2 linked regions of the Caenorhabditis elegans genome follow. The protein of the gene in region 2 interacts with the protein of the main gene of each other region in a pairwise test. Each region holds a gene or a part of one and is shown on either strand. Other genes may lie near its edges. The genes, in order: nhr-142 and nhr-45.

Region 1 (16,637 bases), on a different chromosome or scaffold from region 2:
AAGCTTCGTCTCTAGGAGATCAGATTTTTCTTCAAAGCTCACCTTCCACGTCGGTAGCTTCCTTTCCGATTGAGAATCATTTCGAATTGCACCTTCTCCTTGGAACACTTCTCCTCGTCGCAGCACTCATCCTTCGGAAGCGTGATGTGGAGATGAGCCTGGAACATTGTGAAATTAAAGTATTTTTGATAAATTATACACAGTAGTAATTTATAATGAGAAACGACGTTCACTGTCGCCGCCCTTCCCACAACGCCTACTAACATCTATGCATCGGTGGTCAGTGTTAGTGAGGTGTGTGAAAAGAGCGGCGATCGGAACAATTCTAAATAAATATTTGAAAATTTAAATTACCTCGTAATGTCCAATGACGAACTGGACAAGCTCGCGAAGCTTTGAGGAAGACTTCGAAAGAAGACAAAGTGATGGTGGATGATCAGCAAGAGAATACGAGATCTTTTCCCACAAATCGGTAGACAATTCCATGTTTAGGTGGGGTCAGACAGGTGCTAGAAGAAACAAAAAATAGGCTGGTAGGCTCGTCCCGCTTCGCCTTATATACTCGCTCGTTGCGAGAGATGATGCAATAGGCCCTGCAGGCATGTGTTGGAAGGGCCTAAGCGAGAGAGTGTGCGCACGAGAGAGAGCACAGGCGCGGCAAGGAAAGGCCTATGTGGAGGAAAGAAACAAAAGAAACACACGGGTTGCATTGGAAGCAGTTTATGTACGAAAAAAAGGTTCAAAAATTGAGATAAGAACACAAAGAATTCGATTTTCGTGAATTCTGAACGAAACTTTACGTTTTGGACAGTAAAAATTGTGAAAATGAAGCAAGACAGTAGCTAAATTTAAAGGGAGGTGTTCTATTATGGGCAGGTCTCGCAACGCACAAGGAAGTTTTGAATGGATACGGTAGGATTATTTTTTAAATTTAATTCCATTATTTTTGAAAATGTGGTATATTTCGACACTACAACAGTTTCATAAAGGATAAAAAATTTATTATCCAAATACATATTCACGAGTTCAATGATTCGAGTCGATTTTCTTCTTGATGGTGAACCCATTCGGGTGATAAGCAATATCGAATGTTCCATTTTTAGATTTATAAACAATTGAGCCAGATGAACTTGGAGTTGAGTGTAGATCGAAAACTTTAACGAGCAGTCTTGCACTGAATTTCACGTTTTCAGAAGTAAAATATTCGAAATTTGTTGATTTTAGAAGAACCTCCTGAAAGTTTATGTTGAAAAATTGATATATTAAAGGAAACTTACATCTCGAAACTTGATGATGTCATCTCTTGAGAAAGATTCTCCAACAAAGTCGAAGTTCATAGATTTGAAGTGATTGAGATGCTTGACAATAATAGAAAAATGTGGAACTTTAGACAATTTCAGATTCTTTGCTTTTTTCCACTGTTCCAGGCCCACCAGATTTTCTCTTTCGGAACCAAGACATTTAATTGTTAAGTCTTCCAGAACTTCAGGCTTAACGTGTTGCAGAAGTTCAGCAATTTCATAAGTGTCATCCCAATTGATCAAAACTGATTTTGCCGACAAGATTCCAATTGATTCAAGAACGCCTTTAATAGCAAGAAAAATTCTGTACCATTCATCCATCCAGACCATAATATTAACTTCGAAACAATCCAGATTTAATCCTCGAATCTTCAAAAGTTTTGATACATCAGTCATAGCAACTTCCAATGGTTTCTTATCCTTAACAATCAGTTCCCGTTGCTCATAATTCACTTAATAGTCCTCATCCTACAATTCATAGGCCACCTGGCTATTGTTTGTTTCTAAATCAACTCTTGTCTCATCTAGATTCATCATTATCTTTTTCAGGGTAGATTTTTGATTGTCAATAATATCCTTGAAATCCCGACAAACTGCGCGTGCAGCAAACCTGAAAATTTTGTATTTACAAAACAAAAATGCAATCAATTCTTACAGATCAATTGGATTCAGTTTATCAAGGATCATCGCTTGAACGTCGGTGAAAAGGCCGGTGAACTCTTTCCTCTCTGATGTATGAAATCTATAAAAGGTACTGTGATATTATGTTCATTGAAAAAAATGACAAACCTATCATAAGAGTCTACGGTTAAACTCCCATTTGCAAGTCCCATATACCAATATTCAAAGTGTCGGTATTCCATAAAGTGATCTCCAAATACCTTGCTCATTGCTTTATATGCATTGAAAACTTCAATGCCTTGAAGATGTTGAAATAAAACGCAGATTCGCAATGCTCTAGGGTCCATGACGATACATTTAACTTTGGGATCGATTCTAAAATTTGAATGAAATTTTTCATAAAGCATACAGTTTAGTTTTTGCTACGTTGGCAGTTTTTTGAAATTACAATTCAATAAAACAGATTCACGTAGCATAACATAATGAAAAACTTACTGATCGGACATTTTGACGATTTGAAACAAACTTCGTAGAGCTGGCGAAGTATCAAGAAATAAATGAATTTGAAATTTCATGGGCGTTTGTTTTTCGTTTCACGCTCACGTAAAATTTGGCTTTCTAAAATGTTTTAATTATTTCAGTATTTTTTTTTAATACTTGAAATTAAAAAGTGATATTTATTAAAATCGTTTGGCATAATCCGCAGCTTCAGCGGTAGTCAAAAACGGGAAAGGAATATTGACAATTAAAACAATTCCGGATACAATAAAAAACAAGAAAGACCATTCTTCAGGAGTATTATTCGGACAAAGGTACCCTACTCCAAGAGGTACCAAAAACTGCCAAATGCATGCCATGAATGCAACAACAACAGTTGCAAAGTGAACATGTTGTTGGCATCGCTGAAAATTTTGGATTTGTAGATTAAATAAAATCTGGGAGAAAGAAAATTTTTACCAGTTGCAAACATTTAACTGTACCCATGATTGTAATGCCTGACAGAGTAACTGCAAAAGTATATGAAATTTGGGCAATTGTTCTGGAAGATGTCTGAAATAATAATTATTAAGATTGCTGAGAAATCAAAAAAGATTAGAGCTACCAATGACATGACGACAAATCCAGCGGCCAATCCAATCATGGAGATTAGTGTGCAGGTAACAAACTTTGTCTGAATTTGAAAATGTTCAGTTAGAAACTATTTGGGTAGGGTAAATAGGGAATTTGCTTCAAAATGCCAAAAATGGTCTGAATTTCAAAATTGCCAAAAACCAATGAAAAAAGATTCTTTGATTTCAAATAAATTCCCTGATTGAATTTCCTACAAAATCAGAACTTCAGGGCCAATCAGACTTAGTATGTGAAGTTCAAAATGTGTCGGAATGTCCCATCTCGGTTTGATCTCCGAAAATTGCGAGAATTTAGACGCAGACTTCTAAACTGATTTCGCATTGTTAAGAGTGTGCTAACTTCCCTTTTTTTAGGAAAAAAATTCCCGCATTTTTTTGTAGATCAACCCGTTATGTGACTTCCTGAAACCACGCGAACTTCTCATTTTGGAGGGAATTCAATTTACATAACCTAAAATTTCAGAAAAAAAATCACACTTTTAATAATTGAATTTATATTCTTACCCAATTTTTTAATTGTTATTTTGTGGTTTTCAAACCATTTTGAGTATTTAAAACAAAATCTACTCCACCTATAAAAATCTAACCTTCTCGGAAAACATTGTCAGTCTATCCGTTAGTTGACCTGATGCAAATTTAACAATTGCACACGAAACAAACGGTAAAGCTGCTGCCCATCCGGTGCCTTTTACATCAAAATGTAAAACTTCTCTCAGATAAGTAGGTCCATACAAAACAAGTACGTAGAATGCAACATTTCTTCCGCACATTGAAAGCCACGTTGCAAGTACACATTTATCAAAGCATATTGCTCGGTACGGAACACTTTCTTTTCCTTTCTTTGGCTTCTTTTCAGCACAAATCATACTCAGCTCTTTGGATGATACGTGGAAATGATTCTTAGGAGCATCAGCGTACAAAAAGAAAAATACCATATAGACGAGAATAGTAAGTGATCCAAAAATGTAATAGATCGGCCTCCACCCCCAATCCGATTCGCAAAGTATTCCTGAAACGGGCATACAGATGATGTTGCTCAATTGGAAACCACATGATAAAACTGCCAAAAAAGTGCCCATTTCAGTCTTTGGAGCCCATATTCCCGGAATATAAGCGACAACTGTGTAGAGGATTGATGTTCCGATTCCTTGTAATATTCTTACAATAAAAACAGCATAGAATCCCATGTGAACTGATAATGGAAAGAGTAGAGAACTGGCAGCAGAGATTATACCAAATAGTGTGAAGGTTATTCTGAAAGATAAAGATGTAGCATCGTCGAAATTTAGTCTAAACACACTTGTAATGCTCCTAATTTATCAAAATAATAAAGTTAAAAGCTTCGAAAAATATTATTTTAAATCTTCGTAAATTCGTGAATTTCCAAGCTTTCAAAAAAAAATTGGGCTTTTTGAAAAATCTCAAACACACATTTGTTTCATCTCAAAATACAATTTTTCAGTTTACAGTTTGTGGCAATCTGCCACTTTCAAGAATTTTTTTAGTATTATTTCACAAATTTAAATCAAAATAAAGGTTATAATTATAGTTTCAAATCAAAAAAAGTTTATATATTGGTTTGATTAAAATTATTGAAGCTTGATGCTTGAATAAGTTCACTTTGGAAGATATAGGTCGAAGGCTGTCAGGCAGCTATTTTGGTGCCTGCACGCAAAGTTTTACAAAACATTAGCTAGTCAATGGTTCAATTTAATTTTTTAAATTAAATAACAGAATTCCATACATTCTACTCACCTCAACCCAATGTTATCTAACATTGGCACGAGTGGAAGCAATCCAATTACTGCTCCAATTGCAACTCCTGAGAAAATCCAAGATTTTTGACTTGGATCTTCCAGCCAATGCAAATCCGTTCTGTTATTACTATGAAAGTCCACAACTACATCTTCCATACAAATAACTGTGAAGTTGAAGCTTAAGGAATTCATTTGACCAACTGTCATACACAAAAGCCTGAATCAAAACTAATTTATGTTGTACGAAAAATATTTAAACCTACGAAAGTATCATAATCAAGTATCGAGTTTTGTGAAAGAACACAAAACTAGATATGTGCCGAACATCTGGGAATCCTGATTCAATAGTTATCACTGTCATAGTTGTATTACAACAAGAATGTTCAGTTCCTTTGACAAGTAGAGTTTATGGTTGTTCATTTGCATAATCACATATAACATCATTGATCAAAACATCAAACTTGTCCTTTTTGAAAATGTGGCGGAGGCAAGAGTAGAAATACTATCAAAAATCATGTGAAACAATATTTTTGAATTATTATTTATCATTCCCAGAATTTCGCTTAATCCGTGTTTTCTAAAAATAGTTTATGTACCTATTCAATATAATTAGGCTATTCAATATAATTTTATAGCTATTCAATATAATTTTTACTTTTTCCTATTTTTTCTCTTATTTTCACGTTCAAATAAACGTATTAAATAAATAGTAGATGGGAACAGTATTGCACACGGCCAACCAATCTCGAAAGCATCAAGCCACAAGTAGCCAGTTGGTGAATCTGGCGAAGCTTGAAATAGCTGGCGAAGACTAGTTTTTTGTTTTTCTTTTTTGCCTTTCTACATCCAAAACCTAGTTCGTAACAAAAATATGTATTTGAGCATTGACAAATTATTTACCAGATTTTAGAATAATATGAAGAATGAACCAAAAATGAGAACATGGAAAAGAGAAATAAATCAAAATTAGTCCTGGAAGACGCATGGATCGGTCACTTTGACCTTGAAAACTTCGAAAATCTTAGCCAATTCCATGATTTTCAGGCGATCCAAATGAATTCTCTGAAACATTAAATCGTCAGTTTGGTGGACAATGGCCACGAAATTTCACCTGTAAACTATTCACAACAGTCATCAGTTTGATAAGTCTACCAGCATAGTTTGACATTTTGTACTCTTTCAAATAATATTGATGAAGATCGTCGGCTATTTTCCCAATGAATTTCTCTCCCGCATCAAGAATATCACCTTGAAGAGTTTTTCCTGAAATTTTAGAATTATTGGGAGAGCTCATTGAAAGGGGAAGTGCCCACCAGCAATATGCCATATGATTTGACACAACATGTAACTAATTTCAATTGTGGATGGATCAAGCTCCATAAGTGGACGAGCGACTTCTTCATACATTTGTGAGCACACATGTTGGAACATTTTTCGGAGCTCGAGGGAAGTGTAGTCGGTTATCTTGGAAAGATCAATTTCAACATCTTCCATTCGAATTGCAGTCGAATTTGAGGTGATGAGAATCTACAAAAATTTGATATTGGTGTGGAGATTTCGTATAAATGCTGTCATATTAGTCCAACAGATTTTTGAAAGGTTTCAGACAAAGTTTTGGCAGTTGCCACATTTTTAAAAAATTTCATTTTGTAAAAACAAAATTATTAGTTTTTGAGAAACCTCAAGTTACACAAAAATTTAAACCCACAAACTACTCATGTAAACTGCGAATGCTCCAAAAAAAAAAAAGAAGTTTTTTTCTGATTTTTTTTCTCCAGAAGTTATATTTTTTAAACAAAAATTGTATAAATAGCAAAGAAGTTAAATTGTTTCAATAGAACATTTTTTCGAGCTTTCCAAAATTTTTCAACATTTCATGGCATAACTGACTTCCTCAATATTTTCTAAAATTTTCAATTAAAAGTTTGATAAAATATTTTTATAAAGTTAACATTTTTGAAGAGGATTTTTTTAAAGATGTAATGACTACTGGAAAATATCAAAAATAGAAATTATGATTAAAGCCTTTTATTCTCCTTTTATGGTCCATATAAACTATTTTCTGCAAAACAAAAGTGTTTTATTTTGAAATTATATAAATATTGGTAGATTTAATACGATATGGTCGAACCTACTAATTTTTACGTTATTTTCTTGAAATCATATTTTTTCTAAACCTGATGGTTTTTTCCAATTGAAGTCGTTGTTAATGATTGGAAAAATATTTCCAAATCATATCAAAAGTTCAACAGTAATGCCGAATCTCATTTATTTGTTTTTCTTCGTTTCTTTCGTAGATATTTTATGATTTCAAGTGAGATCACGCATTACTTTCTAAGAAAAAAACTTTTCAAGAAAAAAAAAAGAAATTACTCACTTTCTCCTCTATCGCCCTTTTTCCAAAAATTTCCAGTGACATTGTCAGCTTCTCGAATCTCTGTGACACTTGCCAAACTAATTTGAAAATCGAAAACTTTTCTTCCAAACTCAATTCTCGAAATTCTTCAGAATGCATCATAAATTCTGCTTGTTTGGTCATTTCCATTCCCCACATATCAACCAATTGGTCCAGTCGTATAGTGTTTATGATCTGGTTATATTTGAACTACACTATAGTCTTCAATATGTATTATGTACTTACTCGGAAGTTTTGCATCTTTTTATTCTTCCGATGACGTCTCAAAGCCCAATCCATTTTTCCTAAAGTGCTGGTCGACTGGTAAACCGGATCATCAACTGGTATTTTGAACTGTAAACGTGGAATTTTACGGAATAAATATACGGGTCACAGCACAAACCTCCATAAAAGTCTTGTGTATTTTATTCAAAGTTCTTGACAAATCATAAAGTGGTGGAGCATCTAAACAAGACTTTTTGGATCCAGGACTCCAATCTGAATATGCATCAACGTCAGTTGCATCGTCTTCTTCACTTTGACGTTTTCTATCAGTTGATGAAATCATATCACGATTCCATTGAACATCTGAAACATAATTGTTGTGGTTGTAAAGAAACATGATCCTCAAAAAATATAACTCGTGAATTCAGGGAGAACATTTTGTGAAACTATTGAAATTTTACAACATTATTAACTGCTAATAAATGTTTGGAATTATGTATATTCGAGACTTCTGTTAAATATGATCTTGTGAAATGCCAATTCAATTAAGAAAATATTTTAGGTACCACTAGAAACAAAATAAGTATAATTTGTAGAATGATTTTATTTTCTAGTATTTTTGTCCAAAACTTACAAATGCTAAACACAAAGTTCTACAGTAGTTAGTGGGGTCAGGCTAATTTTGATTTGAATGTATATACCTAGAAAGGAAATGGTGAAACTATTTTTTTGTACTCACTATCTGCGGTCATCCCGAGTTGTAGGCACTTTTTGTACCTGCACAATCTGCACAGATACCTCTCTGACTTGTCAATTCGACATCCTTGACTTGCTTTTCTGCACGAGTATTTTTTGTCCATGACAACAGAGCGTCTGAAAACTGTGTTATTTTTTGAGTGTCCAAAACATGTACCCTACCTGAAAAACGCAGCACAAGCCCTGCAAGACAAAACTCCAAAGTGGACACCGTGTGCCGTGTGTGCGCAAACTCGGCATTCGGAATCAGATGAAGATGACGACGGCTGCAACATTTCTCATCAAATGATATTCACTTTTGTGACTTCAATTGTGTTGTGTGCCCATTTCTCTGTGTTTCATGACCTGAGAGAGTGGCGAAGAGGAAGATGCGCAGGGGTGAAAGAGATTTAGTGTGTGCGTTTGGGAACAGAAATTGTGTGTTCGGCCATGGAGTTTGTGATCATTTACGTGCTTCGATGTAGTTAAAGAAATAAGACTAGAGACAAGCAATCATATTTTAAAGTAGATCTTACTTTAGAATATTAAAAATCTCCAATTTCAAATCTAAATGTGTTGTAGCGGCCATAGATTTTATAGAGTTTGTGACAGATCTAGATTTTTGATGTTTATCGGTAAATCACAATTGTAAGATAAACTTGGATACGGTATTTTGATAATAGTGCTGCTTTTCGTAATGGAAACATAGTTTTTGTGACTCATAAGACGCTAGATCCTTATGGGATTAATTCATTGATAAGAAATCACATAACCTATGACAACTAGAATGTGTTTAGTTCACGAAATCGAAAAAAAACTAGGTGATCCTAGATTTTATCAATTCCAACCTATTGTCAACTTGATAAATAAAAGTGTATCGTCATAATGAAATATCAAATGATGAAACATTTTGTAACAATTCCTACCTGATCTACACTCATTCGGGATTGCTCTATAAAAGCCGGTGGAGACATTCCGATTTCCATTGGTGATTGTGTTTCCTGAAAATTTGGAATTGACTAAAAGTAGAAAGTAGGTTGCAAGAAACAAATATATTGAATTCAAATGTGGTAGAAACTGATCAATTCGCTGAAATTTTATAAAGTAAGCTACCCATCAGCGTGGTCTAAAAATTATCAAATTGGTAGAGAAATTTGCAAAGTTTGGGCAAGACTTTATTTGGATCAAGGCTACGTTTACGTTAAATGAGACTCTTGCCAAAATCTTACAAAAATTGAAAGCGGTACAAGAGAAGTTTGGCAAGAATTGGGCAAAAATTGGGCTCAGACTTGCCCAAGTCTTGCCCAACGTTTGCCCGAGCTTTGCCATTATAAATTTTCAACCGAAACCTGAGCGAAAGCTCGCCGAGTTGGCCAGAAATCCCGAGCTTAATTTTATGTACAATTATATCAAGGGAATTTTCTGTATAAAAATACATGTATCCAATTCAAAAGTCAGAAATTTTTTTGCAAATGTATGTAGTAAATTAAAAACAAACTACAATTTATCCGTACAATTTACAGACTACACAAAAGCCTTAAAAGCCTAAAAAGCCAAAAGAATTAACCTTTCTTTGAATTGACGAATCATCAATGAGCTCAGGAACTTCCATGAGACTAGGCTTCTGACCTCTTGAAACCGAAACAATCAACTGACTGCCTAGAGGGCATGAACCACCGATAAAATGTAGGAATGGGCGGGAATTTTGATTTTTTGCCAACCTTTCCGTATGGAATAATGAATAGAATCTTATGAGGTCTTGAACGATTGAAATGATATATCAAATCACAGAATATGTCACGGTTTCTTTAAACACATTGGTTTTATTTTTGTTATCAGATTGTGTCTGTGCGAGTTGGAGTGAGAAAACGGTGAAAGCAAAATTGAGAACAAATATTGACAGGGCTTGGGTACCTATCGAGACACTATGGAGAAATTCATAACGAATTCGTTTAGGAAGTGGATATGTGTGCCTTCTATGCGGATACAAAACCACACCTTATTTTCTATGCGAATACTTGGACTTTCAAATGGGAAACGACAAGAGGTGTTAGAAGGCAGAAAATATTGGAATATCATATACAACGGTTTTAGACTATTCATGTGTCGTTCTGACTGATTTCATCTTTTCTGTTTTATTCCTATAGTGTCTCTCTCTCTCTCTCTCTTATTGAAAACTTCCGTAGAATTGATTTTTGTACTTCTGACTACAAACCACGAACATAGCAGTTTTGACACATTGCCTACAAGCCACACGTAGTGAGGCACCACTGAATGAGGAAACGCGATATGGGGGAACAAGCAACGTTGGGAAAATTTTAGCTGGAATTTTTTTCCGTCCCTTTAGCTGAAGCTTTAGTGTGATTTGGTAAGAAAAACTCTATTTTAATCTGGAACATAAAAAATTAATTTCAATTTAATTACATTACTAACCGTTATTTCCAATTTTTCAGATTAGAATAGAGATTTTCTCACCTAACTATACTAATTATTATTACACTCATAGGGAAAAAAAATGCTCGGAAACCTGTTTCCACAGTTCATGTGTCTCCAAGTTGCGTCTCCTCGATTCGTATCTCGTAAATCAGTGGTGAGTCCATGACGCGTTTTGCGTCAAGGCGGTTTCTGGCGTGTTTTGCGGGAGCTGGCGCATTTCTCGTCTTTTTTGTGAACACTTTTTGGAACGCAGCTTCTTATTTCTTATTGGAATTGCTTTATTTTCTTTTAATTTTTCTCAATTATTGTTTCAAAAATTACTTTATTTTTTATTTTCAGGTATAATGTCGTCCAAATCGTCTGCACCACTGGAACCCACGTGGACCGAGACGGTAAATTAAATTAAAACTAATATGTTTCAAATATCGATAATGTTTAGCTTGCCAAAGGACTCACACCTCGCTCTGAATGGCCAGACAAAGACGAATTATTGGATGTTGTTTACTGGGGAAAACAGGTGAGATATTAAAAAATTTAAAACTGCAAAAGAAATAAAAAAAACTTCCAATAATTTATATAATTTCACTCAAAACACTTCAATTATGCGTTGAAGTGTTTACAAAATGGGTTGTTTCTTGGTTGAATATTTCAAAAACAAATTTTTCACATAAATTTCGGAAGTTTCTTCGAATAAGTTGGATTTCTTTTAAGAAAGGTGGAAATAGAGTAACCAATTTCAGAAATTGAGAATATCATTCAAAAAATCGATAATTCAAAAAGCTTTGATAAAATTATTCTTTTAAAAAATCTAACAATCAGTTAGCATTTTTCATTGTTTCTTTCCAGGTTATCTCCCTGCTGCTGGGCTTCATCTTCGGAATTACCTCACTAACCGGAGTCCTCGTTTTAGTCTGCTACGTTGGAACGTCTTCCGTCATTGCTCACCACTTTGTTACAAAATTCCAACGAGTGGACGAAGAAGAAGTCGGAGGATTCTGGGAATTGTCGAAAGAAGGATTCGGTGCTGCTTTCGCTACCTTCATGGTTACGTGGATCACAACCTACACGTACTCGACACAAGTGTAGAGACCTTGGAAATATATATTAGTATTTATTGAATTTTGTTTAGTTTACCTCGACAGTTTTGAGCCAAAAGCAATCAAAGTTACAACTTAAACATGTTCGTGTGCCGTTCTTCCCTTGTTATTCCAAATATTTAATTTTAAAATTATTTTATTTTTGTTCTGTGATGTTTTTTTGCGAATTGTTTATCTTTAAATAGTTAAATATCAAACCCCAATTGCCTTCCGTTCAAATATATGAATCACTTTGAATTGAATCTCTAGAATTAATTGTTGTACTGACTGAAATGGACGCTACCAAATTATGAACTTATCTCGAGTTGATTTATAGTAAAACTATGAAACAAGTAATTTTTAGATGCAACTATTAATCATCTTATCTATATTGTTGTCACTATGTGATACGGAGAATTTGACGGTTTTATTAGTTGGATCTAGATACAAACTTACTGAACAAAGAGTAATGGAAAGGAGGAAGCAAATTTTAGCAGATTGTGAAATATTAAAGGTTTGAATTCTTAGAAAAATCTGTCTTTTAACAAAGAGGCTTATCAAACTAAATAGCGCCCGTTCAGCGAATTTCAATCGGAAAACAGTTTACTGAACAGAAGATTTATATTACGGGAACACAAAATTCCGAGAATGCGTACTGCTCATCATATTTGACGCGAAAAATATCTCGTAACGACAACTACAGTAATTCTTGAAATTACTACTGTAGCTTCCATTTTCCCTCGTTTCGCCGTGTACTTTTCTCATTTTTTGCAGAATTTTAATATTCTATCGATAAAGCAATGATTAATTCATTTCAAAAAGCGAGCACGTAAATCGACACAAACGCTACAGTAGTCATTTCAAAAATTACTGTAGTTTTCGCGACGAGATATTTTGCGCAATACATTCTCAGAATTTTGTGTTCCAGTAATATGTCCACTTTCTAAAATAAATTTTGGACGAAAAAAACTAAACTCTCATAAAATAATCCTAAATAGTTACTGAGAATCACTAAATTTCAGCTCTCTTGTTCCGTTTTCGACGCTCTAAATGATTTTTCCACGGAATCTTATCCTCAAGGGATGTGGACTATAGTTCCCGCAATTATGAAATTGCCGTTTATTTCTGATTGGATAATCATCGCAGAAGATACTTCTGAAATTAATATTTCAAACTTACCGAAGTTCTTCGAATCTGAACCATCTTCTGATATGGTATTTTCCGGGTTTGCACTTCAGGATCGAGAGTAAGTTTGAGATTTTTTAGGGAATTTTAGCTTCGACGAAAAACTACGGAACCTGGTCTCGACACGACCGATGATGTAAAAAAAGAGAGATGTGTGTCTTTAAAATGTACAGTAGTCTCCATGCCTCACTGGTTTTCTTTCGTTTTCCAGTTGCTCTACTTTTTCATTTTTAAAAACCGAGTATACGAAAAAGCTGCAAAAAACAGAAAAGTTGGAATTGAAAAAAAAACAAACCGAGAGACTACTGTACTTCTTAAAGGCGCACACTCGTTTTAATTTGAACAGATTCGGTCGTATCGAGACCTGTTACTGTATTTTTGCATTACAAATTGTAAAATTTCGCATCTGCCTAATAGAGAAATGATAGATTTCAAAATTTCAAAATTTCAAAGTTTCTACAAAACAAAAGTCCAAAATATAAAAAAAAAACTGTTAAGCCCGACAATTATCCATCACTTTGGAATGAATGCTCCTGAAAATTTCCAATATCCCTTATTTTCTGCTGGTTTTATCTTGTCAAAAAGTGTAGTTGAAATTATTCGAAAAGTCGATATAAACGATCGATGGTCCGGATTTGCAATTGATGCAAAATATGAGGTATTACCATTTCCAGATAATATTATTTCTCAAACGATTTCACATTTTAGTTTGCTCAGTTTTTACACAAATGGGAAAATTTGAGGCTTCACCATCATCCTGATTATTTTTGTTGTGGAGATACCATTGATAGTTGCATTGTAAAATGTTCAATTCCCTTTCCAAAAACGTCAAATTCAATTTCTGATTCTGAAGTTCATGTCATGGTCAAAACGTTCGAAGGACATCATGTGAACCGACTTGAAGTTCTCAAAAACACTTGGGCATCCGACGTGTCACGCATAGAGTACTGTAGCGACAAAGAGGATCCGGCAATTCCAACAATCAATCTAGGAGTCGACAATACGGACAGAGGACATTGTGCAAAGACATGGGAAATATTCAGAAGATTTTTGGGAAGTTCTGGAAATGGAGCGAAATGGCTTGTAGTAGCCGATGATGATACATTGATGAATTTCAAACGGTTGAAGCAAATGTTAGAGTTATATGATTCTGGAGATAAGGTAGGTATTTCTAATTTCATAGATCTTACTATTAATGAGTATCTTTAAAACATTTCAGATAATTATTGGCGAGCGCTATGGATATGGATTTAGTTTGAATGGTGACAGTGGATATGACTATCCCACTGGCGGATCTGGGTTTGTTCAAATAGTTTTTCTAGATTTCTCAATTTGTTTGACTTTCAGAATGATATTCACGCGCTCCGCAGTTGAATCTTTACTTGCACAATGCCCATCGTGTATTGCAAATACTGATCCGGATGATATGACGATCGGAATTTGTGCACTAACAGCTGGAATTCCAATTGTTCACGAATCTAGATTACATCAAGCGAGACCTCTAGATTATGCTCCGGAGTACATAAAATATCCAATATCATTTCATAAATTTACTGATATAGATCCAATTTCAGTATATTACGAGTACCTAGTAGAATTAGAAGAATATAATCACAAATCTGAGCTTTAGGAAAACGACATGTATAACAGGAATGTGTTATTGTTATTACGAGTATCATTCATTGAATAATAAATTCTTCATCTTGAACTTCTACTTTTCCGGTTTAATCATCAAAAGTGACGAGTTTTGTTGCGATTTCAGATATGCACTAAGCTTCGATTCCGGCTCTTGATACGGGAATGCGGTATAAATAATTATTGAAACAATGACCATAAATGTGCCAAGAAGGAACATAAAACCAGGAGCAAAATCAAAAAGAATCCACGATCCAACCGCAGCTCCGATGATTGCCATACTCTGTAATATATTATTTTTGTATTGGACATCAGATGAATTTCTTGCCTGAGCATATGCTTTTAGAATGTTGTCGGCGTACTTTATTACCACAGATATCAATATTCCACCAACTGAATTGGTGACTGTCAAGCAAACGACCACGAAGTCCCAACCACGGAATGCGCCTTCTGAAAAATTAGAATTTTTTAGAAATAAAAGTGAATTTAAGTTTTTTATCATTCTCCTGTTTAAATGATAATTTGTAAATTATTGATTTTAGAAATCTACAGTATTTTCTCTATGCACCCAAAATTTTGACGGCGTATATATACGCCGTCAAAATTTACGCGTATATCTTAGTTGTCATTTGTCCTATAAAAAAGTTATCAATTGATAAAATGTTTATCATTTCTTTTTCTATCGTTTTGCAACTGATTATTTTTTGATATTGTCAAGCTGAGTCAAGATATACCTACTTAAAGTAAAGTAGTGGGGTGAAATACTTTTAGAGGAGATACGGTCTTTTTACAGATGAATTAAGCAAACGCGAAATATGAGAAAAACGAGCGTTTTTACAATATTTGTAACCTAAAAACTAGAGTTTTCTGCAAGTAAAATACTCATGGTTCAATTCAAAAATCGACTCGCAAGATGTAAGCTGCTTCAACTTTATCCAGGGCCGCCTTGATAAAAAACATTCATCAGCAAAAATGGAGACAAATATGTGCACAACATTTTCTCACTAGAACTTTTTTTTTGAAAAATAAACTTTTATTGCCATTTTCTAAAAGATTCCCTGATTTTCTTACCAGCGAATGTTCATTCTTTGGCAACAATTTTGTTTTCGCCGTTCTCGACCTATCGCTCGCGCCACACTCCCCCCACAAAACCATTGTTATTCATCCGCGACCGTTTTGAAACACTTGATGCAACGAATGCAGAAGCTCTCTTTTCTTCATGCTCACATACAGAGCAACAGGCAATGGTCAGTGTGCAAACAGAATGCGGGTGGGGCAAGCATGTGCTCTGGCTCTGTTCCTTCCATCGGATTGTCTGCTTTTTCAAGAGGTGTGAAAAGAAAAGAAAATTGACAATGGGCACGGAAGGGGTGAAGCGGATCCATCTCTTTTCTTTTCTTTATCGAAGACACACTCAACACACAACTGTATACCTCTCAGGCTACGACCGATGATCTTTCCGGTTTCATTGACACCTCCTTACAACCCACTTTTTTCAATTTAAAAGTTTTCTTTCGAAATTCGAAACCCGGTTTACTTAAAACTATTAGCAACTCACGTTCATTTATTTTTTCCCAGTCATAGTACCACATTGAAAGAAATGAAATTGGAAGTCCGATGAGTGCAAGACGAATGTTTTGAACCCAAATTGATGCATTGCTAGATTTCAAAACTTTTTCCAAGTAGACACCTGAAAAAATAAAATCAGTTCTATTTTGGGATAAGAGAGGGATAACCTGGACAAACAAATCACTTGATTTCAAAAAAAAGTTGAACATCAAATGGAAATGGTCATTCAAAACACAGAGGATGTGTTATCTACCAAAGCTATTATATAAATAATGGTACACAATAGGCACTACTGTATTTTTAAGATAAGTAACTTTTTAGTATAATTCTTTTTTGTTGCAAATTTCCATGGGAATGAACATTTGAAAATTTAGATTGTATTAAAATTTCTCACAACAGCAACTTCGCCGCAGTAAAAGCAACTTCTGCCTCCCACAACTTTACTACCAATTTTAACAACTTTCCAGTTTGGCATGTATACAGTTGCTAGAGTTGGACTGTTGTTGAAAGCCCATTTATTGCAATAAAAATTTCCAATTGTTATTCTACGACTACAAAAGCTCAACAATCAA
Region 2 (16,118 bases):
TTTGTTAGCTGTCTTTTTTTTCTCAATTTTTTCCTAATTCTTATCGTGAAACATCTCCAAAGTTTAGAGTCCTGGCATCCTCGTCAATGTGCTGATAACTTCACACAAAAATCTTTTGATGCCCTGTTTGGAAGCTTGGTAACTCATTGTCTCCATAATTCTTCATGCATTTTGAAAACTGTTTCGGATCGGTAAAGGTTCCCAGTGGTAGAATTATATAAATATTTATTACTAAAAACCTTTTCATAACCACATTAAAGTGCTGACCGACAGCATTTCGGTGAGAGCAGAAGTAGCACGAGGACGAAGTCCATTCCTTGCGGCCAATGCGCGTGCCGCCCAGGTGGAGGAGATTACGGTAGCAGTCGTTTCACGTGTGTCGTAGTGTCGGCCTGGCGAGACCAATTGGCGGTAGTTCAAATAGGGATTTCCATTGTTGCTCTTTCGCGGGGTTGTCGTCGTTGGGTTGCATAGATAAAGTTGAGCATTGACTAGCGGTTATTTCGTAATAATAATATATAATATACTTGCATTTCTTTGTAGTTCACTAACTCTTCACATTTAAGAATAAGTTGCGAGCTGACGAATATTCATATTCTCAGCATTCGCAACACTCCCGGCTCCTAGAAGACAGCTTGGAATCAGTGAAGCTGATTATAAACCACTCCTCAGGTCCGAAATGTCATTTCTTCATTGTGTCCACATTTCATCATTGCTCATTGCTCTAATTCCATTTCCATTTTCATTCTCCTTTCAACTAATATTTCTATCATTCCAAAAAGTCGTGACAGGATGACCGTTCAGGTCTCCGCATTCGCGACACTCCCGGCCCCCTCAAGAGAGGCCAAGATTTGATCATTTCTAAAAAACTACATCTTTTTGATAAACTCATATCTGTATTCCCGGTCGATGTTCCCGGTCGAAAAACATATTCTTGACATTTTTGGATATAAATTGAGCTTGTTTTATAGAATTCTAGTTTGTATAATACTGTACTCGTTTCAAAACATGGAAAATAAGCATGGTTTAGTTATAACGTCAGGCTGTACATAACGCAAAATTTATCATTACTGAATAAGTGAAATGTGGATCACGGCCAATGGGGAAAATATAAAAAACTGTTCATGTAGTGCGAAAATAAACATATATCATAATAAAACTGTTCAACAAATTTTGGAATTTTTTAATTTCGAGTCCAAAAGCGGTGAAATCTCAGTTTTCACAGACTGGATTATATATCAATATTGTAGGGGTTCAAACAGTGCTTCAATTACTTTTCAAAACATTTTCTGTTTTTAAATCCTCTAATTAAACCACATTTTTTTGTGCTGCCCTCCATGAAATCCCTCAATTTTGTGTCCAAGTGTAATTCATTAACAAGCCAGCAAATCCATCCACTTGTTCACACGGAACAAGTGAGAGCAAGAGCTGATAACAGGCAAAGATGCAATGACAAATGCGAGGGCCTCTCCTATGTAATTGGTTGAAGGCTCATTTGTCACCCATCATTTACTTTGTGGTCGGGTGGTGCCGATTCGACATAGAGACCTCATTGACTTGTTTGTCATCCGGAAAACATTCAAAACACCATAACTCCCTACACCTCGCCCCATCCCCTGTTTTCACCGCGACGAACACATTTTTTGCGGTCCACTTATGACGGACTCGCCAATGATATGAGTTGTCAGTGTGTGACCTACAAATCATTGTAAATTGAGTCGCCAACATGTTTAAGTGGGACAATTGGCAAGTGTTTGATTGTACCACAACAGCCGCTTCTTGAAACGATTTGGATGCAATTTGCCAATACCGCAAGATAACATGACAGCTCCCACTGACAGACTCTTTGATGTTTGATGGATCACACTGATGTATCGAAATAATCAAGTCCCAGTAAAATAATTGATTTTTCCAGATCCCGGTGACATTGTTGGGAGTTCAATAATCATCTCAAGACTACTGGTACAGCTTTCACAATTCAGGCAATTCAGCGACAATGATGCAGCTGTGAAAATCGTTCGGGGTCTCCACCACCATTGCCAACCTTCCCAAAGTCGTTTATTCAAATGTTGAGCGCCTCGATAAAAACATCCGGCAGTAGATATTTGAATTTTTATGCGGTATCATATTTATCTGAATAATGTGACCAATTCGTCACTTCTCACTTTGATGTGAGCCGAGATTCACAACGACCGGATGATGGAAATTGCATTTTGAAGTTAAAAAATAAATGTTTTTTATGAAAAGTTTTATTTTATTTTAAGAAGCTGATCACTGCACTTTCATTGTGCGGCAATGGCCAAATATCACTACAAAACAAATCAAATTTCTTGAAAAACTAATTGAAAATCACTCAGTTTTCATCCTTCTGGAAACCGAACAATACTTTTATCTGAAAAATGTAGAGGATTTGTACAGTAGGCAAGTGACCAAAACTTTGGCTGAAAATTTTCTGACAATCTTGAAAAGTTTTGATGTTCATAATTAGGCATACTGTATCTTCGACTATTGTTAATGTTTCCATGAAAAACCACATTGACAATACTTTTTTAAAAAGTTGAATTCAAGCAGCAATGCAATATTTGCCGTATCCTGATCTACTGTATTTCCTCTATTGCACCCGATTAATGTACTTTGAAAGGCTCTATCTCGGCTGACAACATTTGAATAAAACATACAACAACTGATAAGCTGCCAAAGTTGAACAATGGGGTGAAACACTAATATAATATATTCAAAAACTCAAACTCGACCTTAGAATGTACAAATCTATATACATTTATTACTATAATGTGCATTGCATGGCCTAATTGAATGATGAAGGCGCTTTTTCATCTAAACTCTATTCAGAACAACTAATAATGTGAACAGGCTCGATTACTTTCGAGAAGTGCAGACATTCTGCCAAAATGTTGCTCAGCTGTCCCCTCTCATTTCACAGCTTGAAACAAAACCGCCAAGACGGGGTCGAGTTACGAAATACGCATGATTTAATTGCGCGACACGTGGTCGTGAGCATCATGGGTCAATTCTGTTTTCAATCATCATTACTTCATTGATCCATGGGCCAATTTTATTGTATTTAAGACATTTCATATCGATCAAGCGATAATAAAACCGGATTGAATGAAATTGAAGTATTGGGTAAATGGGATTGCAGGAAATGAGAAAGATATGTGGATTCAAAGATATAGAAACCGGAGTCTACACACTAAAATGGTTGTTTTAAAAACTAGGTGTGGGGGCTATAAGTTAAGCCAAGTTTCAAGCTCATGTGATAGAAATGGAATAGATTAAACGGTCAGAGTTTAAGCTCAGAACCCGTACAAATTGTAAGAAGAGAAAAAAAAACACCGAAAAAAAAAACAAAAACAAAATATCCATTTAATTGAAGCCCACATTTTGAGGCATTAGAATTTGGTTCAAGTTGAACAGTGTTAATGGGATGGATGTTCCTTGTAGAACTGCTGAGTTTGCTGGAGATATTATTGGCGGCAAAAGCTGAAAATATAGGTGTTTAAAGGTTGAATTGATAATAATGCATTGTTATTTACCAATGAACTAAATGAAGTTATAGGATTTGCCGGTAGAATTGGTTGAATCTGAGTTTCATCGGAAGATGGTGGGGTTTGAGGCGTATTTGCATCTTGTCCCGGATTGTGTTTCTTCCACTTGGTACGCCGGTTTTGGAACCAGATTTTTACCTGAACTACTTTTGAAGATATGAAAATTTTCACTGCAATCATGGCTACCTGAGTTTCAGAAAGCTGAAGTTGAATTGCCAAATTTAAACGCTCTACGACGCTCAAATAACGTGAAGTCTGAAATTTAAAAAATGCAGAACCCGAAAAAAAAACGTTTCACCAACCTTGAATTTGTTTTCCAGCGCAACCAATTGCTCATAAGTGAATGCAGTTCTGGCTCGCCGCATTTTGAGTTTCCGACTCGATTTCCCGCCATCAGCTGGAGACTTTTGATGCGTGGCTTCATCCGAGTTGGAGTCTTTTTCCCGTTCGGATAGCAAATCTTCGACACGAAAGCCATTCATAGCTGTCAAGATGAAAAGCTTGTATTACAAACAAAAAAGTGCAATTTGGCCTTGAACTCCAAAATTGGAATTCAACAAAAAAAACGAACGAGAGTGAGAAAGAGAGAATGTTCACGATATTTTACAAAATGTCTCAGTAATAGAAATTAGTGGTTTTTCTGGGACATTTTGGTTAAGGCAGTAAAAATTGAAAATGTGAGTGTGTTTGGTTTTATTAAAAAGTAGCACGCTGGCGTTTACAACAGCTGGTTTTGTTTGTTAACAGGAATGATACTTGCGGGACCCGTAATAGGTGACTTCAATTTGTGAGGTTATATCTCGGTTCATTTTGAAGATGTCAATTGATAATCTCTACTAAACATAAAATAAATAATATATGAAGAAAATACAAATATGTACTTTGTCAATTGAAGATTTGTGGATATGTAAATTAAGAACTGATATATGATCTGTTGAATTTTAAAAAATGGGGCATAGATATGATTACTCCTAACTCTAAAAATGTAAAATTTAAATCACTTTGCTGTTTTGAAATCTCAAAAAACGATCCTGGGAACAGTAACATATGATAAAACTTGATGGAATTTTCATACCTGATGAAATTCCAACAGTTATGGGCATAGTTAAAACCACTGCCACAATAGTTTTTTCAATCAAGAAAAATCATCAAGAAATGAAACGCGACAAAAAACTCTCACGAGAACCTATTGGATCGGGGCTCAAAATCAAACTGACAGCAGATGGGGTGGAGTCGGTGGGGTAGTTTTGATTGGGCAACGAAATCTGCGGCGACTGCCGGGGAGACCCCATTCTTCGCCTCGTTGCTCATCTCATTTACAATCTTCCAAACAACACTTGCGTAATAATTGCTTACTATATGAAAATATGTTACGCCTCTTTCTCTTCGCTAACAACTACAAACACAAAAGCTATCGGGTTCTTCAGACCCTTTGGATTATTCATAATAGCAAATCAGAGCAACTGAGCTAATGAGATGAACTATTCTTTTTGTCTCTTCTGTGTCATTTTATTGTATTGGTTTCGGCTTCTATTGTACTCCAAGCACACAGAAGTTTACCGCCTACCGGAGCTTCTTCTATTTGATTGTGACATGATGAGAAATAAAGACAGAAACATAAATTTTTTAGAACTAAAAAAGAGAAAATGGGAATAAATAAAGTTGCGGAGGAGTTGAAGACGGAAGAACAAGAACTATTGACAAGAGGAGACAATTTTTAATAGTTGAGGAATGATGGAGCACTTTTTATATTGTTAACGGGAGGAAACGAAATGAAAAAGTACAGTGTATGCTTTTGAAGAGAACAATTTAGGCTGCGTCTGAGTATGGAGTTTTATTTATATATCGCTTTATAGAGTTACATGTGAGCTGAAGTAAAAAAAAAAGCAAATCAAATTATTTGCCAAGAAATCGTAAATTTCTTAAAATATGACAGGTTTATGGATAGTATTCAAACAATAATTTTGGACGTAGAGATAATTAGACTTTTAGAACACCTAGATGTTAGTTTTTTGGACATACGTTTAAAAGTGATATGAAAATTCATTAAACCTGTATAAAATTCATTCGGTCAAAAGAATTTTAATTGTGTATAACTCTTACATTTAATCCTATAAGCATAAATCAAAGACACGCAGTTTCTGGTAAAGTTTTTTAATTTTCACAATTGGAGGAGCTAACAACTTGCGGGTCGGATTTTGATAAAGCAATTTAAAACACCTCAATTCTTCGAAAATAAGCAAATCGAACAACATAACTTTAAAATTTTTGGCAACCGGCAAAGAAAAGCTTATATAAATTATTTTCATGAGAATGCTCATTTTTCGACTCATTTTAAACCGTAGTCAAAAATACAACAGTAAAATGTAGTGCTATTAAAAATTTGACAATAAAAAAGATAAAATTAGAGAAAATATGTTTAACAATTTGTATTGACTTATACAATTTTTAATGATTTTAATATTGTAACTGTGCAGTCATTAAAAATCATTAAAAAATTGACTGCTTTATATATATATATTCGTTGTTCATATTCTGGGAAAACATTTAAAATTCAATCAAAAAATGATTAATAATGAAAACATTTTTTGGGAATTTTCAAAAATTTTACCTGTATTCATTAAAACGTACTCGATGCAGTTTTGTAGAATTTCAATGAGGTTTTTGCTAATATGTTCAATATTATTAGCACATGACATTTTGAAACACGCTGTTATTCACTGGAAACGTGAGAGTCAGACTGGTAATTGGATGTGAAAAGTGTGACAATAATCTTTATAAATTTTTAAACATTTTTAATACATTTGGTTGCATTTGTTGCTGGAGAATACAATATGATAGATTATAGATTTTGATTACGGGATACGTTTAAGGAGGTGGAGCAAGGGAAAAACAGATAGTGAAAAAAATTGAAAATTTTGGAGGGGCTGTAGATAAAGACCTTGGGATTTTTAAATGAAATCAAGTACATTTTTGTTTCCTATACTACAAAGATGAGTTTTGTCAGAGGTGACGACGTGCCGAAAAATGAAGATTCACATTTTTAGGCACTTTATAATACACATAAATTGAATGACTGGTGATAACTGGATTTAGATTTTAGATATTTCAAAATCATCGGAGATTTAAAGTTACGAGAGCACTTGTCAACCTAATTGAGACACTGAAAGTCAGTGAATAAAACTATGGACAACAAGAAAAAGATCAGACTGGGAAATCGGTGAGATCGCTGAAGAAGAAATCGTTCTTGAAAATGTTGAACGTCTTGGACACCTGACTATCCTCCCTTTTTCGTTCAGTGATCTCCTGAAAATATATATACATTATATATATTATCCAGATAATTTCGAAATCACACGCTAGAAATGAAGAAAAAACTCACATCAACAGCGGAGGCAATGCTACTTAGCCGTGTTATTCTACCAGCGTAGTTTGGATTGTTGTTGTCATACTGTTCAGCATAATAAGTATGGAGATCTTCAGCTAACCGAAGCTCAACCTTTTCAGATATATCCCTAGTAGCATCAGTGATTCCAGGGAGGTCTGCAGTTAAAGAATAGTACTGATTTCAAAAGCTCAGTAACTTACTTGATACACTCCACATTATGCTCATCATCATGTACATGAGCTCATACTCGGTTGGTTGCAACTTTTTGAACGGGTTGATAAAGATCAATCGGAACTTATCCATACTTCCTTTTAGGAAACTAAAAATAAGTAAGTACATATTAAATATTTCTCATCAAACTTAATTTTAAACAACTAACTTTCTAACTTGTGTAGCATCCATATCACTAATATTCTCTAGTTTCACAACAGATATTCCAAAATTGATAATCTGACCATTCAGCGTGAGCCCCCTCTCGTCAGTGAGGTTATAGCCGAGTCGTTGGCAAGTTGCAAAACATCTATCTAATTCATAGAACCTCGTCCAAAAGTGCTTGAAGATAATCCACTTCTGATCCTTTGGAAGTTGGGCGAAAACTCGAATAGACATACAGAATCGTGCAATGTGCTCAATTTCAATGTAATGATTGCGCATGAAATTTTCCATATCGAGAGGCACGTTTTCAATCATCTAAAAGTGCAAGAGCTTTATGAATAGAGATCACAAGTTCAGAAAATCTAGAATTTTCTGAGATAATCTATTTTGCTATTTTGATTATCGGTTACAACAAGATTATTCTCACCTTGTCTTGATCTGGCCATTGTTTATTATGTTCTCTGTAAGCCAGTAAAGCCTGCTGACAGAGGGTCAGTGGAATGTCCGGAAGTTGACAGAATGCGTCAGGAGGCTGTAAAGAATAGATTCAGAAATATGTGAAATGTTTTTGGTTAAAAGTAAAGTATGAAAAAAATAATTGAAAAACGTTTATCAAAAATTTTAGAAACATTTTTATTCTGATTCGGAAAGTCGTGAAAACTGAGTTTGCGCCACTCTTCAAGAAATCTAAATCACTGTAACATGTTTGAATTCCTACAATGTTGAAATATGAATATTTGGAACATATTTAAAACATATCACTGAAAGAAAACTTTTTTTCGATCGACGACTTCCAAAATAAATGGTGGGATTTGATGCTTCACCTATTTTTGACTTCAAATAAAATAATTTATCAACGTTTTTTGAAAAGTTTCATATTTGTCGATATTTGGTCATCATAGCATCATAGAAATTATTTTTAATAACTTTCTCATTTGTTGGACATCATCTATAATGAACCACGGCTGATTCCACATAAATTACATTTTTCAGTTGCTCATCAAAAAAATTAATCAGAATCAGAATGTACGTATGTAGTACAACTTAACAAACCACATTAACTCTTACCTGTCCAAACATTGCATCAATAGTCGGCGTTAAAACATTTTGCACATTCACATGAAGATCCTGGGTTGCTTGTTGTGCGGCCATGGCAAACATTTGATTCTGATTTCCAGATTCATTATTGTATTCTTGAGGTACTTGGTTATATTGTGTAAACGAAGAGGGGATGGCCGATGAATTCTGCTCGTCTGTGCTCAACAAATCTGTGTATTGATAGTCGAAAGGTTGCGGAATATGAATTGGTGGTTGTTGGAATGGAGGAGTTGGCATTACCGCTCGACCCACCTGAAAGTATAGAAATTATGCTCTATGCAATTTTCATGTACATATGTATGTATAGTATATGTATTTAATTGTATAGTATATGTATTTAATCGAAGTGTGCCTGGGTTTCGATAATTCCTGAACAAATGAGTGTGATTTGAGTGATAAGAAAATTCAACTCGTAAAGTGTATTTTTCCGGTCAGTTTGAACTTACAGCAGAAGTCACATTTGGAGCACCGAGCATTGCGTAGCGACTTCCAGTTTTATCCACCACAAAGAACGCCGGCATTATTGCACTGATTCAAAAAATAATTCAAAAAGTAGCGCAAAAAGCCAAAGTAACAATGGGATGTATTTTTCTCAGCTTGCTATTTCGCTCAAACTTGCGCTGCCCTGTTGTCATGGGGATAATGGCTTTTCTCGAAGCATATAATTTTAACGATGTGTTGCCCGAGTCCACAAGATTGACTTTCATCTAATGAAATTTTTGTGCTGGATAGAATTAGAATTTTGGTCAGAAAGAAAATTTGTCAAGTGCTTCAGTAGTAGTCCATTGAATAATGCATATGTACATGAATCGCAAGCATAAGAAGCCGGCGCGGATTAAATTCCACTACTGGGACAATTTGGTCGATGGATTATGACTCATCTTCAATCAATATGTGTTTACTTTTATAATGTTTACCGACATCATTTTGTGGTCGGTAAAGTAAACCTTCAAAGAAAACTACAAACCTCTTCAATGACAGTTCTGTGAAACGAAAAGTTTAGCTGATGCATATCGCTATTCGGTTGATAGGCGTCCGACGCAACCTCCTGCACAAACGTTCCATTATTGCCCATTAATAACGGAGGATCTGGATTCTGGTTCTGCTGCTGCTGCTCGAAACTCGGCGGTCGACACGTGTAAGATTCCAGGGAAGAATGCGGAGAATGTCCAATGCTGTCAGTCTCATTTCCAGACGAGTCCTTCTCGGTCTCCGATTTGTTTTGTACCACTGAAACAGGGGATGTGAGATCTGCAATTGGAGGGGAATTGTGTGTGGGGAAAGGATGCATGCTATTTTGATCTGGAGATGAAGTACTCGAGTCTTTTTCGATTGCAAATATTGTCAAGTGTGTTAGGGGTCAAGGAACTCGGGTAAAACACTTACTGTCTTTTCGCATTCCTACTCGAACACATTTTTCATAACGACAACATCTGCAGGAGTACCTTTTATCTGGAAAAATTAAATTTTAAATTTTGAAAAGCACGTCATGATTTCGTTTATTTTGTTTCCGGTGTTATCTGTTTCAAATATTTGATCGGTCGACTCACAAAGACTATTGCGAAAAAGACCAATGTCAGAACGAACCTAGGGTGCCAAAATAACGTAACACTTACTAAATGAAACTTCGCATTTTCGATCAAATCGGCATTTGTACCTAAGGTTCATTGTAAGAGTTCTTCTAAAAAATGCTGCACACGCCCGACAACATCGGATACCAAAGTGCTGACCGTGTGCATCGGTCTCACACACCAGACACGACATGCTGATCTTGCTAGTTGTTTCTGAAAAAAAAAGTGTGCGATTAATGGAGAAATGGGTTGTCATAGTTATGAAGTGAAAAATAAATAAAATTTCAATAAAAATGAAAGCTTCAAAAGATTTCTCAATAGTGCAAGTTTACTACAGCCAGGTGAAGTGATGTGGCAAGAAAGAAGAAAAGTTATTACATTTTCAGATCAATGGAAATAAACATAAGAATGTGGGGTACATTTTCACGCAGATATAATAATTTTTCATTAAAATATTGAAAGAGCAGAGAGAAAAAGAAATGCTTGAAACGTCAACCACAAAAGCTCACAATGTTCCAACAATGGAGGTGACGGCCATTTTTATGCGTATAACTTTTCTTATCAATTTGATTCAAAAATTACTAATCATACGATAAAATCAATTTGGCCAGGAAAAGAAAGTATTTTCCACAATTTTTTGACATCATATTTTTACAAGTGTGTCATTTTGCAAGTCACATGTTGAAGATTGTTGAAAAAAAGGTTGTAAGGTTCTCCAAATTGAATTATTTTTCCCCTTTACTTCAGACACTTCAAAGTATTATAGAACAAAAAAATACTAGACGAAGATCATCAAAGGAAATTGGATTCTGATTCTGAAAGTTGTAGTTTTGTGTTTTTTCCTTCTCTAATTATTCGACACCGAGAGAAAAATATATAATTTACAGCAAAAAAAAAAGATTCAGCTCAAAATTTGTAAACTTTAAATTGATGCATCGGGCTTTCCAAATTGCGCCCACTAATCTGAAGTAAAACGTACGGATTAGGGTCGCTTTCCCGTTTGAGTCAGGAAATGACGGATACACGATTAATACAAGTTGCACTGGGCATTGGTCTAAAAACGAAAGAAAGCACCTGTTTGAAAGACACTACCATGGCGACGTAAGCCTGCCGACAATTGTTTGCTGCGTTTTGTCATGAAGTGAACTTGGTGGTTGCAGAAAAATTTGAAAAAAAAGAGAGAAAAGTGTAGATTTATATCTATTTCAGAAGATTTACAAAGGAATGAGGAAATGCTGAATGGCAGCAGACTTCGCTTGCTGACTTCGGGATAGATTATTGGATTAACTTTAATATTTTATTTAAATCCAAAAGTGAAAAGCAAGAAGATCACGCCTAGGAAAATAAATATTATAGAAAAGTTTTATAATATTAACCCATTAAACACTGATCATTAGTCTAGTTCCAATCCACCGATCTTGATCTACGTATTAAATCAGAACAGAAACTACGAAAAATCACCAATTATGAGATTATAAAGTTTAAAGTTTAAAGTTTAAAAAACTTTTTCAGGTGTATTCTTATGGGAAATTCAGGAAGAATCAATTTTCATATTAAAAGTAGAACACAATTCAAAAAACAGTTTTGAATTTTAATAAATAAAAATACAAACATTTTTAGAATAGTTCCAGTACGACATGCAAAAAAATATTTCTTCTAACAGTATGAGATAAACTTTAAAAAAACTTTGATTGCCTAATTTTCTGTTGAAATTTAAATTTAAAATATTACTAATAGAAAAACGACGCTAAACTCTTTTGAAAAATTTTCTGATATTGTAAAATTTAAATTGTTTCTTTTTCATAAATTATTTTAGTTTTGACAAGGCAAAAAATCTTTGATAACATAAATTCAAAAAAAAAATTGATAATGATTTTTTGAAATATTTTTTGAGCTCTTATTGTGAAGTTCAAATATTTTTCAATATGAAACGGGGTATCCCGCGCTGCCAATCAACCACATCAGACAGCAAAAGAAAAAAGCGTGATGTGAAAGATTATAGGTTTTTCCTTGTGAGCAAAACTAGTTTCCGTTTTTCTTATAAAACGTTTGCAGAGTATAAAAGTCAGAAAAATCTCTGTTTTAATGTTATTCTAGCTCTACAAATTTCAAATTCCATTTAACAGCTACAAACTCCATTTGCTACAAAGTAAAATCTACGAAGTGAAAAAGAACAAAAATGCATAATGAAGAGCGAGAAGAAGGAGAATAATGTGTTGTGGAAGATAAGAGACGCGGCACAGTACCGTTTCGGTTTTCCTTATCTCAAAATTTTCTGATGAATGAAACAAAAATCAATAAGAATCAGAGACAAATATGACGTGTGGAATGGAGGTGAAAAAAGAAAGTACGAGAGAATACGCATTGCGAAATATTCGTTTTTTTTTTCCTTTTCCCCCATCATCGACCTCCCTTCCCTACCAGCAAGAGTAAAAGAGGGAGAAAAGGAGCGTAATATTTCGGACCGGCGAGACCTTTCTCTTACTCTCTTTTTGTTTCTTTCTCTTTCTCTATTCCTCTCTAACTCTTCCATCATTTCACTCCAAAATGTCTCTTCCTTTCCCTGTTATGCCCGACAAAATGCGCGGGATCGTCAGACAGTGCGCGCATACAACGATTTGGCAAATATTCAAGCGCTACAACACGTCGTCCTCTCCCAGTTTCTTTCTCTCTTCACCCCTGTTTGTTGATGACACAGAGAGATAGAGAGACAGAAGAGAGAGAGAGAGAGAGAGAGAGAGAGAGAGAGAGAGAGAGAGAGAGAGAGAGAGAGAGAGAGAGAGAGAGAGAGAGAGAGAGAGAGAGAGAGAGAGAGAGAGAGAGAGAGAGAGAAAGAGAGAAGGAGAGTAATAGGAAAAGGTAGTGCAATGGTTCGTCGTTTTCTCGTTCAAGTTCGCTGAACAAAATGAAAATTGGCGCTGGTGTCTAGAACGAAAAATAAAAATAACAATCAAATGAAAACCAAAAATTGTTGCTTATTTAATTTTTGATATTAGAAATCACTAGACCGAGAAATATTGAAAGCAAAAATTCTCCCGTCATTGGTGTCAAGACGCAGAGAGAAAGAGAAAAGAAGAAGTGCTTCAATTCGCTAGTTCTTTTGCACTTTTCACTCGGATGATTTCTGATCTCTTGTGATTTTAACTGTCTTTGTCGTTAAATTTGGTGTGTGAAGTTTTCTAAAAGGCAATTGGTTTTGAAAGAAAGTATTGCTAAAAGTAGTCAAGTATAGGTACTACGCTAAAATTTTCTAGCCAAAATAATCTTTTCTCTTTTAGTATGCATGTTCTTGTGGTTTTTGTGGTGAACGGAATCAAAAAGGTAACAAGATATATAATCTAAAATACAACGCGAAAAAAACAATCGGATATGATTGATAAGGTGATATCAGAATTGATAAAAAGATCACTTCAAATCAAGTGGTGTAGTTATATCTGGGTGTCATCATGAATTAATTTACGTTTGTTTTATCAAATTAGTAGGACAAATGCGTATGCAACAATGATCTAAATAAATGATTTTTGCAATAGCAAAGATTTTTAAAATATTTAGAGTTGCCAGAAATGGAATTTGCAAAATATCATATTTGCAAAATATCATATTATCCAAGCGATCATATTATTTCATTTAAAGTAGCATTGAGTTAATGATGTTTCTAAATTTGAAATAATTTTTAGGAAAAAAAAACCATTGATATTCGTTTGGGAATCTACTGTCTCCGATTTTGAATTTTTCAAAGATAAGCCTATTTTTCAGATATGTGTACGCAATTTTTGTCAAATGGGATAATTTTTTGTAATATGTTGCCCGGGACTAAAAATAAGAAGTTACTAGAAATCCCCACAACTGATATATCAAAAAAAAACACATTGAAATGTACGGATTGGATAAATTCTAGAAACTTCAAGCGCAAAAATACCCAGGAACTGGGCGGAGCTTTTATTTTGATTTTTTTTTTTTTTTTTTTTCAAAGCATATTTGCAGTATTTCTCAATTTTGCTCTAACATGTTTAACCATGAATATAAAAAATATAACGAAACTAAAATAACCGTTTACAATATACATAAAAATAGATAAATTTATCCAAGTTCGCCAATATCTTGGTTTTTTTGGGTTTTTTACGACTTCAAGTTTCTGGAAATTCGAAACATTTTTTCAATCTCCTAAAACAAGTGGTCTAAAAAAACCTTATCCGCATTTTAAGTTGTAAACAAGCAACAAAGTTTCTTTTTCTTTTATTTCTATATTTTAAATTCACCTTGGCACAATAGCGGAGTTTGTCAGAATTATAAATTCAAGAATCACATGTGCGGCTAGTGCAACGAAACATATTTGCTCATGCAAGTGAAATTCGATACGATTCATGAAAATTGTAAATACATATTGATCTTAAAAACTCGAGAATTGCCGACGAGAAAGTTGTACTATTGCAAGAACGAAATAATATACTGTGAGTGATCTTTATGCAATTTTTTTCCAACATTACACTGTTTAATTACAAGATCTTTGATTAACCAATTCACCAAAAGAGAAAGAAAAGACAGACGACATTGAGGATTGCCTATCAAATATTCCAAAAAAAAAAAGGCGCCACCAGCAAAAAAGCGAAAATTGATGATGACAGATTTGGTGATGATCTGGCAGAAAAAAAAAACGACTAATCGGAAAAGGGGAAAACGATTAACGTAGTACCCATTGATCTGGTATTTTTTCGAATTGATTACAACTGACAGCTTTTCTGGAGAGTATTTGTTGGAAACACTATTATTCTGTGTTGTGTTTTCCTGAACTCTGATCGGACAACACCGAAAAGTTTAACAATAGGAAAAAGCGATAATTTGCACTCAGTAGTGCACGCCTTGTGGTGCGTTTTGTGCGCGACCAGATGACCGCATACACACTAAGAAGGAACTTGATCATGAGCAAAGTCCAGTACAAATTACTAAAGAGATCAACGCTTGACATATACGAAGCTTATTAGATTTGAAGTAAACGAAAGCAGAGTAAAACTAAGAACGAAATAAAATATTAAACTACGATCGAAATTCTAATCACGTTTTGGGGAACATCAAAATCATAGGTTAGACAAAATTGGTCAAAATATAAAGAAATGAAAATTATAAAACTTTACTAAAGGCGTGGTACAACAGTAAAAAATTAATACAACCTTTTTGGTTTTCTTAATTTTTTTTAAATTTTGCAAGAAGTGGCTGATTATGGCACATTCCGTTTCTCAACAAAAAAAAAACTAAATGGCCTTTTCAGGTTTTTCTTTTATTATTCAATTTAAAATATCACAGAAAAAACAGTTACTGGAAAAAGTCAATTAATTTAGGTAAAAAAGTTCTAAGAAAACAGTTGTTTGTTCTAATAAGTCTTATGCAAAACTCAAAAACTCATCTAACATTTTTGAAAAATGTTTTTCAAACAGTTATACTCGGTTATTGAGATTCATATTCTACTATATTAAAAAGATACCTACGGGCGATACCTTTGAGGAAAACTAAAATTTTCGTTTAACACAATTCAATCAAAAAAGTTCTCGTTATATCCAGATTCATCACATTTCTGTCTTCTCCATGTTTTTTTTAAATCAATTTTTTTCAAGTTATTAATTAGATACTCCTTCCTCGTTTTGTTGTTACGTTTTTGCAGTTTCTTTTAGAGACGAACACCTTTTTTGAACACCACAATTCAAGTTGTCTATGGATATGCTAAAGGTTGAGAACATTTTTAGAAACTTTTTAGAACATTTGTAGATTCAATTACTTCAAAAAGACCGAATTATCTACTGATCATTTCTCGAAATAAAATTATGTGCACCTGCTTTAGATTTTATTGATTTTAGTAATTGAAATATAACAATAGAAAATTCAGAATAGTGCCGCGAAAATTAATATTACAGACTGTCGCATGCTATGCTAATTGAAACACTATTGAAACTTTCAGAAACACCACTACTTTTGAAAAGAATACTCTTTTTGCAACGATGGAAATAGATGTGAAGTATGTAGACCCTTATCTTTTGGTCTTTGAATTTGACCGTTTTGAGCAAATAAAAAGCACGTGTCTCAGAGACAAAGAGAAGTTTCTCTGCATCAATTTTTAGTGAAAACAAA

Evidence for each region.
Region 1: the proteins of nhr-45 (region 2) and nhr-142 interact in a two-hybrid assay, tested with the Caenorhabditis elegans proteins (one large-scale study listed by BioGRID).

The regions. Positions count from the first base shown.
Region 1 is NC_003283.11:5,780,291-5,796,927, forward strand, and holds nhr-142 (Nuclear Hormone Receptor family), read right to left. Parts: upstream 10,264-16,637; 5' UTR 9,777-10,263; coding exon 9,732-9,776; exon of another isoform or gene 9,656-9,731; intron 9,166-9,655; coding exon 9,091-9,165; intron 8,452-9,090; coding exon 8,348-8,451; intron 8,303-8,347; coding exon 8,169-8,302; intron 7,793-8,168; coding exon 7,608-7,792; intron 7,559-7,607; coding exon 7,451-7,558; intron 7,400-7,450; coding exon 7,187-7,399; intron 6,337-7,186; coding exon 6,123-6,336; intron 6,073-6,122; coding exon 5,921-6,072; intron 5,872-5,920; coding exon 5,776-5,871; 3' UTR 5,667-5,775; downstream 1-5,666. Other genes in the region: F44E7.5 (F-box domain-containing protein), read right to left, coding at 43-158, 355-486; fbxa-183 (F-box domain-containing protein), read right to left, coding at 1,027-1,233, 1,278-1,670, 1,788-1,911, 1,957-2,043, 2,091-2,297, 2,418-2,497; F44E7.7 (Major facilitator superfamily (MFS) profile domain-containing protein), read right to left, coding at 2,603-2,824, 2,880-2,972, 3,025-3,093, 3,640-4,306, 4,808-5,026, 5,073-5,170; F44E7.9 (Rab5-interacting protein), read left to right, coding at 10,945-10,992, 11,040-11,117, 11,447-11,686; ZC250.2 (N-acetylgalactosaminide beta-1,3-galactosyltransferase), read left to right, coding at 12,041-12,190, 12,699-12,922, 13,360-13,519, 13,570-14,022, 14,081-14,160, 14,209-14,491; nstp-3 (UDP-galactose transporter), read right to left, coding at 14,573-14,779, 14,825-14,946, 16,055-16,186.
Region 2 is NC_003284.9:4,650,108-4,666,225, forward strand, and holds nhr-45 (Nuclear Hormone Receptor family), read right to left. Parts: upstream 10,212-16,118; 5' UTR 10,192-10,211; coding exon 10,044-10,191; intron 9,880-10,043; coding exon 9,814-9,879; intron 9,679-9,813; coding exon 9,395-9,678; intron 8,680-9,394; coding exon 8,398-8,679; intron 7,862-8,397; coding exon 7,757-7,861; intron 7,645-7,756; coding exon 7,334-7,644; intron 7,274-7,333; coding exon 7,155-7,273; intron 7,110-7,154; coding exon 6,949-7,109; intron 6,873-6,948; coding exon 6,771-6,872; 3' UTR 6,326-6,770; downstream 1-6,325. Other genes in the region: Homeobox protein ceh-1, read right to left, coding at 3,385-3,501, 3,555-3,704, 3,753-3,821, 3,869-4,048.